Drosophila melanogaster: one gene and its partner. The protein of the gene in region 1 interacts with the protein of each later gene in a biochemical or structural test. Each region holds a gene or a part of one and is shown on either strand. Other genes may lie near its edges.

Region 1 (4,832 bases):
TTTCTAGATGATCAACCAAGCGACCCGGTGTGGCAATTATAATATGCGGCTTCTTGGCCAGTTGAAGACCCTGGGCTACCATGTCCATGCCGCCGACTACCACGCAACACTTTATGCCAATCCCGCTACCTGAAAAAAACAGAGCTAGCATAAGTTTGGCAGAAGGAAATTCAAGAATACGATAAATGGGAAGGTTTTTTTACTCAGAGGTAGTGACGAATAAGAAAATTATAATTTCATATTTTCGTTGATACACAAAATCAAAACAGGTTTAACATCACTGCGAATTAAAAGCACATAAACTATGCGAAAACTCACCAAGGGCTTCAAACTGCTCGCCAATTTGAAATGCCAGTTCCCTCGTGGGGGTTAGCACGAGGGCAAAATACCGCTGCGGATTCTCGAGAAGGGCGTGTAAAATTGGCAGAGCGAAGGCGCCCGTCTTGCCGGAACCGGTCTCCGCTAGGCCAATTACATCCTTGCCCTGTAAGGCGACCGGAATGGCCTCACGTTGGATCTTCGAAGGCGCCTTCCACTTCAATTCGTCACATGCTTGACACAAAGCCTCATTGAGACCCTTTGAAGAAATATGGCCATTCGATTAAATTTTAATTTAAATTAATAGTGGGGCTCATACGAGATCTTTCCAGGTTAGCTTCTGTTCCTCGGCTGCGTCGTCCTCGGAGCCTTTATCATCTTCACCACTTAGTGCCGCCTCGCTGTCCCCTTCCTTATGATTGTTATCTTCATCTTCCTGCTCCTCCTCGCTACCTAGATCCTCCTCTTCGTCACTCGTTTGTAGCTGCGTCTGTTCGTCCTCTGAAGTTTCCGACATTTTGTTACATGAGTTTCAGAAAAATTTCACGGTACGGACATTACCAATAGCAGCACGTGGTCGAAATAAAAGAATTAGAGGCGGTAAAATAGAAATAGAACTATTTGCGATATTATCGATATAGTTGCGTCTTTAAAACAGTGCAGATTCATGATAACTTTCGATAGCTAATGTGCGATATATCACATGCACACTTAATAAAATTTGTAACTCATTCATACTGAACCATGATCTTAATTACAGGACTTAGTTATAGTGCAAATAGTTTGTTTCGGAAATATATTCACATTTGTATAAAATCGTAATTTGTTAGAAAATTGTTTAATATTGTGATTTTGTCATTTCAGTTAATATAACAATGTTTGAAAATAGATGGTGAATACAAATTTGGTATACATCTTTTTCCATCGCGCAATTTTAAATTAATGAAACGCCAATTAGAGGGTTGTCTGTCATGAACTGTCAACGAATAAAAACTGTTTGACATTTTCATACACAAATGTTATTGATGCTATTATTAACAATTCCGTTAAATCCGGAACAAAAGATTTCTGAATAATTGTCATTTTTAATTGTATAGAAATATTAAAGACAATAAAAGAAAAAAATAGTTGAAATAATTTAACTGACTTGTACTTAACATTTTCTTATAATTTTGGATATTCGAATTTTAATCTTCGATTTTGTTTATTGCGATCTGTTGATGTTTTGGTTAGGTATACATTTTCGTATTGTGTTAAATGCATCATACTGCCGACATAATTTTTATGAGGTTCACTGTAGAAGTAATATAATTAATATATTACTCATAGTCAGTAGTTGTTTCATTTATTTAAAAATCCGTTAGCGGCTAAAAACAAAAACGTTGCAGAATAGTCACATCCAACTTAAGGTCACCGTACTTTTCAACACTTGCTTGCTATAATCACAGAAACAAGCGACGGTCACCCTCCTTCGATTATTAGTCCGTACCTATCGGAGCCTATCGTTCGTCGATATAGGATCCTATCATATAAAATATTGATTAAAATTTACGCAAATACAAAATTTTCTTGTTCCGATGAAAAGTAAGCAACAAAATTACAGTTAAGAGGGATATATAAGAGAATAACGTGTGCGTTGGCGGGGACCATACCACATCATTACTTATCAGTTAATTCGTGGCTATGCGGTTGACAAGTGAAAACGCCTACTAAAGAGAAACTAAAACCTTCAGAAAGCGAGTAAAGGGGGCAATCTATCTTTACAACCTGTCCATTGAGATCGCTTAATATTTTTGGAAATGCTTTATAGGTAAACCATAAAAATCCATTGTGAAAATTTGTGGGGGTGGTGGATACTGAATAGGCGATAGACGTAGTAAAGAGAGCGGCGAAAAGAGTGCGGAGCGAAAGAGTTTGTATTTGATGTGTACTCAAAAGTAGCCGAAGAGAGCGCACTAATACACACGCATACGGAAAAAGGACGATAAAGAGGAAGAGCTTTCCGTGGAAACTAGGATAAAGTGTTTGCCCAAAATGAACTCGGCGGTGGATGCGTGGGCTGTGACCCCGAGGGAGCGTTTGAAGTACCAGGAACAGTTTAGGGCACTCCAGCCGCAGGCAGGATTCGTTACCGGCGCCCAGGCCAAAGGGTTCTTCCTGCAGTCCCAGCTGCCGCCCCTGATCCTGGGCCAAATATGGTATGTATATTACGCCCCCATGAATCATCCACCGATAAGAGTGTTAATTCTTACTCATTTTCTTATCTCCAGGGCTCTGGCGGACACTGATTCCGACGGCAAGATGAACATCAATGAGTTCAGCATAGCCTGCAAGCTTATCAACCTCAAGTTGCGCGGCATGGACGTTCCCAAGGTTCTTCCTCCCAGCCTGCTGTCGTCTCTTACCGGCGATGTCCCCTCGATGACGCCACGTGGCTCCACAAGCTCCTTGAGCCCTTTGGATCCACTCAAGGGAATAGTTCCGGCAGTAGCTCCAGTTGTTCCCGTTGTGGCTCCACCGGTGGCTGTGGCTACTGTCATTTCACCGCCTGGAGTCTCAGTGCCGTCTGGCCCCACACCCCCCACCAGCAATCCACCTAGTCGCCACACGTCTATCTCAGAGCGAGCGCCATCGATCGAGTCTGTGTAAGCATCACTTAGAATCGAATTAATGATTTAATATTATTAATGTAGCAAAGAAGAGATAATTTAATTAATTAAATTTCAAATATTCTTAGTTATTGAAATATTAGCAAAAACATATATATAATATCGTATCTGTTCTTAACTCCTCAATCAACTTCTATCCTTTTAGCAACCAAGGAGAATGGGCCGTTCAAGCTGCCCAAAAGCGTAAATACACGCAGGTGTTCAATGCTAATGATCGCACCCGATCTGGTTACTTAACTGGATCCCAGGCACGCGGCGTTCTCGTACAGAGCAAGTTACCCCAGGTCACGCTGGCCCAAATCTGGACGCTGTCCGACATCGACGGCGATGGACGGCTGAACTGCGACGAGTTTATTCTTGCCATGTTCCTATGCGAGAAGGCCATGGCTGGTGAGAAAATTCCGGTTACCTTGCCCCAGGAATGGGTACCGCCCAACTTGCGCAAAATAAAATCGCGACCGGGATCGGTCTCAGGGGTGGTATCCCGTCCTGGCTCACAGCCGGCCTCCCGACACGCATCTGTTTCATCCCAAAGCGGAGTGGGAGTCGTGGATGCTGACCCAACAGCCGGACTACCTGGACAAAGTAAGTGCTTAATTAACTCCGTTGCCAAACATGTGAATATATTCCATATATTAACACTTGTGATTTCGCGTTCACCAGCTTCCTTCGAAGACAAGCGAAAGGAGAATTATGTTAAGGGTCAAGCAGAGCTGGATCGTAGGCGCAAAATTATGGAGGACCAGCAGCGCAAGGAGCGGGAAGAGAGAGAGCGAAAGGAGCGTGAAGAGGCTGATAAGCGTGAAAAGGCTCGTTTGGAGGCCGAGCGTAAGCAGCAGGAGGAACTAGAGCGACAGCTCCAACGCCAGCGAGAGATTGAGATGGAGAAGGAGGAGCAGCGCAAGAGGGAACTGGAGGCTAAGGAGGCGGCCAGAAAGTAAGGACTTTTATCTTGCTTTGAGCGACAAAACAATGTATACAATTTCTATTGTATCAGGGAGCTTGAGAAGCAGCGCCAGCAGGAATGGGAGCAGGCTAGAATTGCCGAAATGAACGCACAGAAGGAGAGGGAACAAGAACGTGTTCTAAAGCAGAAGGCACACAACACCCAGCTTAATGTGGAGCTCAGCACACTGAATGAAAAAGTAATGTTCTTAAAGTACAACTAATCTATATGGCTGGCCTATCTAACTAACTCGGCTTAATTACAGATCAAGGAGCTTTCGCAGAGGATTTGCGACACTCGTGCCGGCGTGACAAACGTAAAGACCGTTATCGACGGAATGCGCACCCAGCGCGACACTTCCATGTCCGAAATGTCGCAGCTGAAAGCGCGGATTAAGGAACAGAACGCTAAACTGCTTCAGCTCACCCAAGAGAGGGCCAAGTGGGAGGCCAAGAGCAAGGCCAGCGGGGCTGCCTTGGGAGGGGAGAATGCGCAGCAGGAGCAACTGAATGCCGCATTCGCCCACAAGCAGGTGAGCTTTGGCATATACGTAAAGTTTTAGTATTCAACGGATTCTCTAAAATACTATTTACCTTTTTCAACAGTTAATTATTAACCAAATAAAGGATAAAGTCGAGAATATCAGTAAAGAGATTGAGTCAAAGAAGGAGGACATCAACACTAATGATGTACAGATGTCTGAGCTCAAGGCCGAGCTCTCCGCTCTAATCACAAAGTGCGAGGATCTGTACAAGGAATACGATGTGCAGCGCACCTCGGTGCTGGAATTGAAGTACAATCGAAAGAACGAAACTAGTGTATCGTCGGCCTGGGACACAGGCTCTTCCAGTGCTTGGGAGGAGACGGGTACGACTGTCACCGATCCCTACGCAGTTGCG
Region 2 (4,943 bases), on another chromosome or scaffold:
TTATATTTTCGATTTTTTCCGATGTTATTCCAAATTAATAGAATATATGTTAATATTTTTATAATCTGAAACACGGAAAAGACAACAACTAAAATGCAATTTAAATTATTAAATAAAAATGAGCAAACTTGGTTATTTAAACACTTGCCTGTTATATGGCATGTTACTCTGCAAGCAACTGTCGAAAATCAACTTTTATTCTGTGAATTCTTAGATATGAAGTTAAATGAAGTGCAAATAAGCTATCCCCCAAATTAAAGTGGTCCAGAGTGCTCGAAATTATCGTCCATCTCTAACGCATTTTAAAAACGCAAGTGGCTGGTCTCACTCATGTTATTCCACATTATATTTTGTATTGCATTCTATTTTATCTAAGCTAGCAAATATATTTAAGGCAACTAGACTAAATGTTAAGCATTCGTGTTTTAAGGCTACAAAATGGACACTCCGTTCTTAACAACGCCTGCCAATTGGCACTTTCGCGAAACAAGAGCTCCAAAAGGTCGAGCAAAGACAACGTAACGCGACAGGGAAAAATATTTGGCTCGTTGTTTGGAAATCGGCTTAAAGGCAGCAAAAGCCATTGGTATCCATCGCCCGATGCAGGAACATCAGGCAATCAAAAGTCGCTGCACGCCTTAAAGTTTGGAACCCCACACTCGAAGACAACTTGCAGCCACAACAATCGACGCATGTCTGTTCTGAACAAGTTGTTCATGACGAACATCACTGATATTCTGGCCACCGGCGCAGTTGCCGATTCCATCGTGGGACACGGAGTGCAGATTTCCTATGTCAAGATCACCAGCGACTTCTCCCGCATCAATGTCTATTGGATGGGCAAGGATGGCGGGGAGAACCAAGAGCTCGAGAACACATTGAATCGCATGAGCGGCAAACTGCAGCACGAGCTATCGCAGCTCCATCTGATGGGCGAAGTGCCAAAGATCAAGTTTGTCCGGGACAAAACGAGCACTGGTCTCCATCAGGTCCACGAGGTTCTGTCCAAAATCGATCTTCAGCACAGTTACTCTAGTTCAAATGCGGAAGTTGAAGAAAGCGACGCACAGAGTTGTCAGACGGCTGCGGATGAGGAATGGCCGGAGATGCGACAGGATTTCCTCAGTTTTAACCATAGCTTAGTTATGGACAAGATTCTCGGCAAGATGCGCAAGTCCAAAGATGCCTGGGTTAATCATAGACAAAATATTGCGAAAACCTAACGTTTGTTAAATCCCTCGACTTATGTACATAATGTTAATTATTAAAGTGTTATTCAATCCAATGTAAATTGGGTTCTAAAGTTGAAAATAGGGGTAGGGTCTGTAAACGTTTAATCATTTTCCAATAAGTTTGAAATGTTGGCTACTTTTATCCCAACTAGTTCATCATGTTGAGTGGTTTTAAAATAGAGTATCGATTGCGTTTCTAAAAAAAAGCTTTAACGGCTTAAAATTGAATGTCAAAGGTCAAATCATTACCATACTCGATTATGTTATTATGCTTTTAAAGCTTGCGCACTGCATCTGTATCTGTTATCGATATAAAGCAAAAACGCAGAAAAGCCGGACATGCGCATAAAATGAATAGTTTTATAAGCTTTTAGTATTGGTTATATATTCCCTTCAGGATATGCATATTGTAGATGTGCATTTAATTTAATAAATAGATAGATAATTACTTGTAAGTTAATGTAATCAAATCAGCTGTTTTTGATAGTTGCGATAGTAGGCGACCTTGCGCTTAAATTGATATCGATGTCGGATAAAGCACTGGACTTGTTATCGAAACCAACACTTAGCTTCGGCATACGGAAACTATTCGATATATCGATGTATCGCGAGTGATTCACCCAGCCCTATCAATTATACCAAAAAAAATCAGACCAGACCAGCTTATCGGGTACAGATTGATTACTTTCTTGCATCTCTAGTTTTAGTCGAAAAAATCCATTGAAACGATTTGGAAGCGGAGTGTGGTGATAGTTGTCAGTTTTGCACAATAAGAAGAATATTTGTTTAAAAGACCAAGCCAAAGCCCAAATCGCAGTGCGCTCTTTGTGGCGATAAACATGACATCTACACTAACACAACACAGTTACGCCTGAGAAATAAGTGACAAATTGGAAAAGTCGATGATAAATTCGTTTGGGAGTATATATACAAATTATTTTCGTGTAAATGTCGATAAACACTTTTGCTCGCAAAACCCAACAATCATACCCGTCTTTACCTTCTTCGCGATTCCAATTCCGATTCCAATAAGTTTCGCTACATCGCCATTATAATCCGAAGAAGCAAGAAAGGTTATTGTGGTGGTACATACAATATATCGGGTTGGTTAATCGTGTGGGAGAATGAGTAACTCATGAGTGCTCTCCAATAACGATTTCTGTTTGCAATTTTCCCCATTCCCCCACGATTTACGCATATTTGTTATTAACCACCACCCCCACCGCCGCACACAAATTTTGTCAATTTTTTTTTTGTGTTATCTATACAAACGAAAAGAAAAGTGATGGAACGCATGAAAGTATTTATAATGCAGCAATTGTATTTTGCAGAGGAGTGTGTGCAGTGAAGTAAAGCCAGCGATTAAAGGAAACAGCATAGAAAAAAAAAAGACCCGGGAGCTGAGCAGTAAAAACACAAACATCCGGACGAGTTGGGATCGCAGTTCGATCTGATCTGATCTGATATCTAATCTAATCTAATTGTGAGGGAAATCGGACCTCGCCGCAATGGATAGTTTAATTACAATTGTTAACAAGCTGCAAGATGCGTTCACATCGCTCGGCGTCCACATGCAACTGGATCTGCCGCAGATCGCGGTGGTCGGTGGCCAGTCAGCTGGCAAGAGTTCCGTTTTGGAGAACTTTGTGGGCAAGTGAGTATCCCCCGCACGCCTTATCAGCATATTATCCTCTCATATGGGATCATACTATCATACCATATCACCCTATCAGCACCCCAAATATCTAGCCTACATATATTGTGATTGATAATGGACCTGAAGAGACCCCTCTTTGGCATGCAGCGAATCGATTTTTCTGCACGCCAGTGCTCAGCGAAAAGTAGCGCTATTCTTTCTATTATGTCTGCGTTTCGTGGAATGCCCAATTAAATGTTACTGAAAAACTATGAGTAATCGCTGATAGCACTCGCTTTCAGGCATTATTATTATTTTTTTTTTTTTTGGTTGTTTATTAACAATCAATAATTGGTGTCTACGAAACAAGTGTACTTGCTCATAATGACCAAACCATATCAGTGGTCTTAACTTAATTATGATAATAAGAATTTTATCTTTCACCTGCACAAAGCTGTTGAAAATCCAAAAGCCCCGCAGCTCTGCAAACTATATTCACAAAACGAATTGTAGAACATCTACGTATACGTATTTTGAATTTTGTTAAACAGAAATCTAAATTGTATGTATCAATGCGATTTCTTGTGTGTTTGTATCTATAAGCCTGCGCTGTCTCTCATTTTTCTTTGTTAGTGTCCACTCTAAATACAAACATATAAAGAAAACAATGGCTTACGCCCCAAAAAAATGCAGATAAGGCCAAAATGATAGTGTGTCGGCGATTTAAGTTTTTCCCCACTCTTGCCCAACGATTGAGTAGAGTAACTCACATTCTATATGTTTACTTTCGAATATATTTGTAAAAGTTTGACCTCCTTTAGAGTCGATTTATTTATTTTTCATAGCTTGCAAATAAGGGGGGGGGGGGGTGCGCTGAAAAAGAACATTAATCAATATGCCCATTCATGTATTTACAAACTGCATTGAGCCATGTAAAGTTTGTGCTTACATAAGTCCACTATGTTCAAAATAGTCCAGTTAGATTTCGCATGCGCCGTGCTTTATATGTATGTATGAATGTATGTATGTGTGTCAATTAGGGTGGTTACCCCGCCCCCCGCCCACCTGACACCACTGAGCCATCGGAGGAAGCGAGAGAGGCAGCGAGACCCACGGCCACGGCAGGCCAAAGTCTTAATGTCAATGGAAAATGAAGGCTTCTTCTAACTCTGGTCAGTGCGAACAGGATGTAGGTGACCAGAGTGTTCAAAATGACCCATTTACCATTTGATTTATTAGCCTAGCTAACAAATAGCTTTACTTTAAGTACTCAGTGGTATTAAACAATGCCCAACACTTTTGGAGTCCTGAAGTTCTCACTTGGAAATTTAAACACTAGCTGCAAGTCATAAGTTAAATTTCCATTAAGTTTTTAGTATTGGCAACTCAAATACTCATTATTCGATGCAATTTCAAAATGTTTTGATACTAGGCTTAATGCTTTCTACATACTTCTTAAGCCCAGTAGTAATATTGTTAGATGAACAGGCTCCACAATCCAAAAACCAAAGACTTCTATGATTCCATTATTAAATACAAAACGTTTTCCCCATTTTACAGAGATTTCTTGCCGCGCGGCTCTGGTATCGTAACTCGGAGACCACTAATCTTGCAACTGATCAATGGAGTTACCGGTAAGTTGAGCATTTGATATGATTAAAGAGAAGCTATCTTCTAATGCTAACATTGATATTTATTGCAGAATATGGCGAGTTCCTTCACATTAAAGGCAAGAAGTTTTCCAGCTTCGATGAGATCAGAAAAGAAATCGAAGATGAAACGGATCGTGTGACCGGTAGTAACAAAGGCATTTCAAACATTCCAATTAATTTGCGCGTCTACTCGCCGCACGTACTCAATTTAACCCTGATCGATTTGCCAGGCCTGACAAAGGTGGCCATTGGCGATCAACCGGTGGATATTGAGCAGCAAATTAAGCAGATGATATTCCAATTTATTCGCAAAGAGACTTGTTTAATTTTGGCTGTGACCCCGGCCAATACGGATCTGGCCAATTCGGATGCCCTCAAGCTGGCCAAGGAGGTGGATCCACAGGGTGTGCGAACCATTGGCGT

What was found. Proteins that work in one complex are often made in the same cells at the same time.
Region 2: the proteins of Dap160 (region 1) and shi form a complex in vitro, tested with the Drosophila melanogaster proteins (2 studies listed by BioGRID, with this or other methods).

What each region holds. Positions count from the first base shown.
Region 1 is NT_033779.5:21,139,309-21,144,140, reverse strand, and holds the start of Dap160 (dynamin associated protein 160), read left to right. Parts: upstream 1-1,793; 5' UTR 1,794-1,902; intron 1,903-2,128; 5' UTR 2,129-2,352; coding exon 2,353-2,516; intron 2,517-2,588; coding exon 2,589-2,963; intron 2,964-3,132; coding exon 3,133-3,572; intron 3,573-3,650; coding exon of another isoform or gene 3,651-3,662; coding exon 3,663-3,924; intron 3,925-3,984; coding exon 3,985-4,132; intron 4,133-4,198; coding exon 4,199-4,465; intron 4,466-4,538; coding exon 4,539-4,832. Other genes in the region: pths (porthos), read right to left, coding at 1-129, 319-577, 638-835.
Region 2 is NC_004354.4:15,890,265-15,895,207, forward strand, and holds the start of shi (shibire), read left to right. Parts: upstream 1-1,935; 5' UTR 1,936-1,987; exon of another isoform or gene 1,988-2,317; intron 2,318-2,563; 5' UTR 2,564-2,740; coding exon 2,741-2,886; intron 2,887-4,428; coding exon 4,429-4,502; intron 4,503-4,570; coding exon 4,571-4,943. Other genes in the region: CG15916 (uncharacterized protein), read left to right, coding at 408-1,223. UniProt on the Drosophila melanogaster protein: Microtubule-associated force-producing protein which is involved in the production of microtubule bundles and which is able to bind and hydrolyze GTP. Implicated in endocytic protein sorting.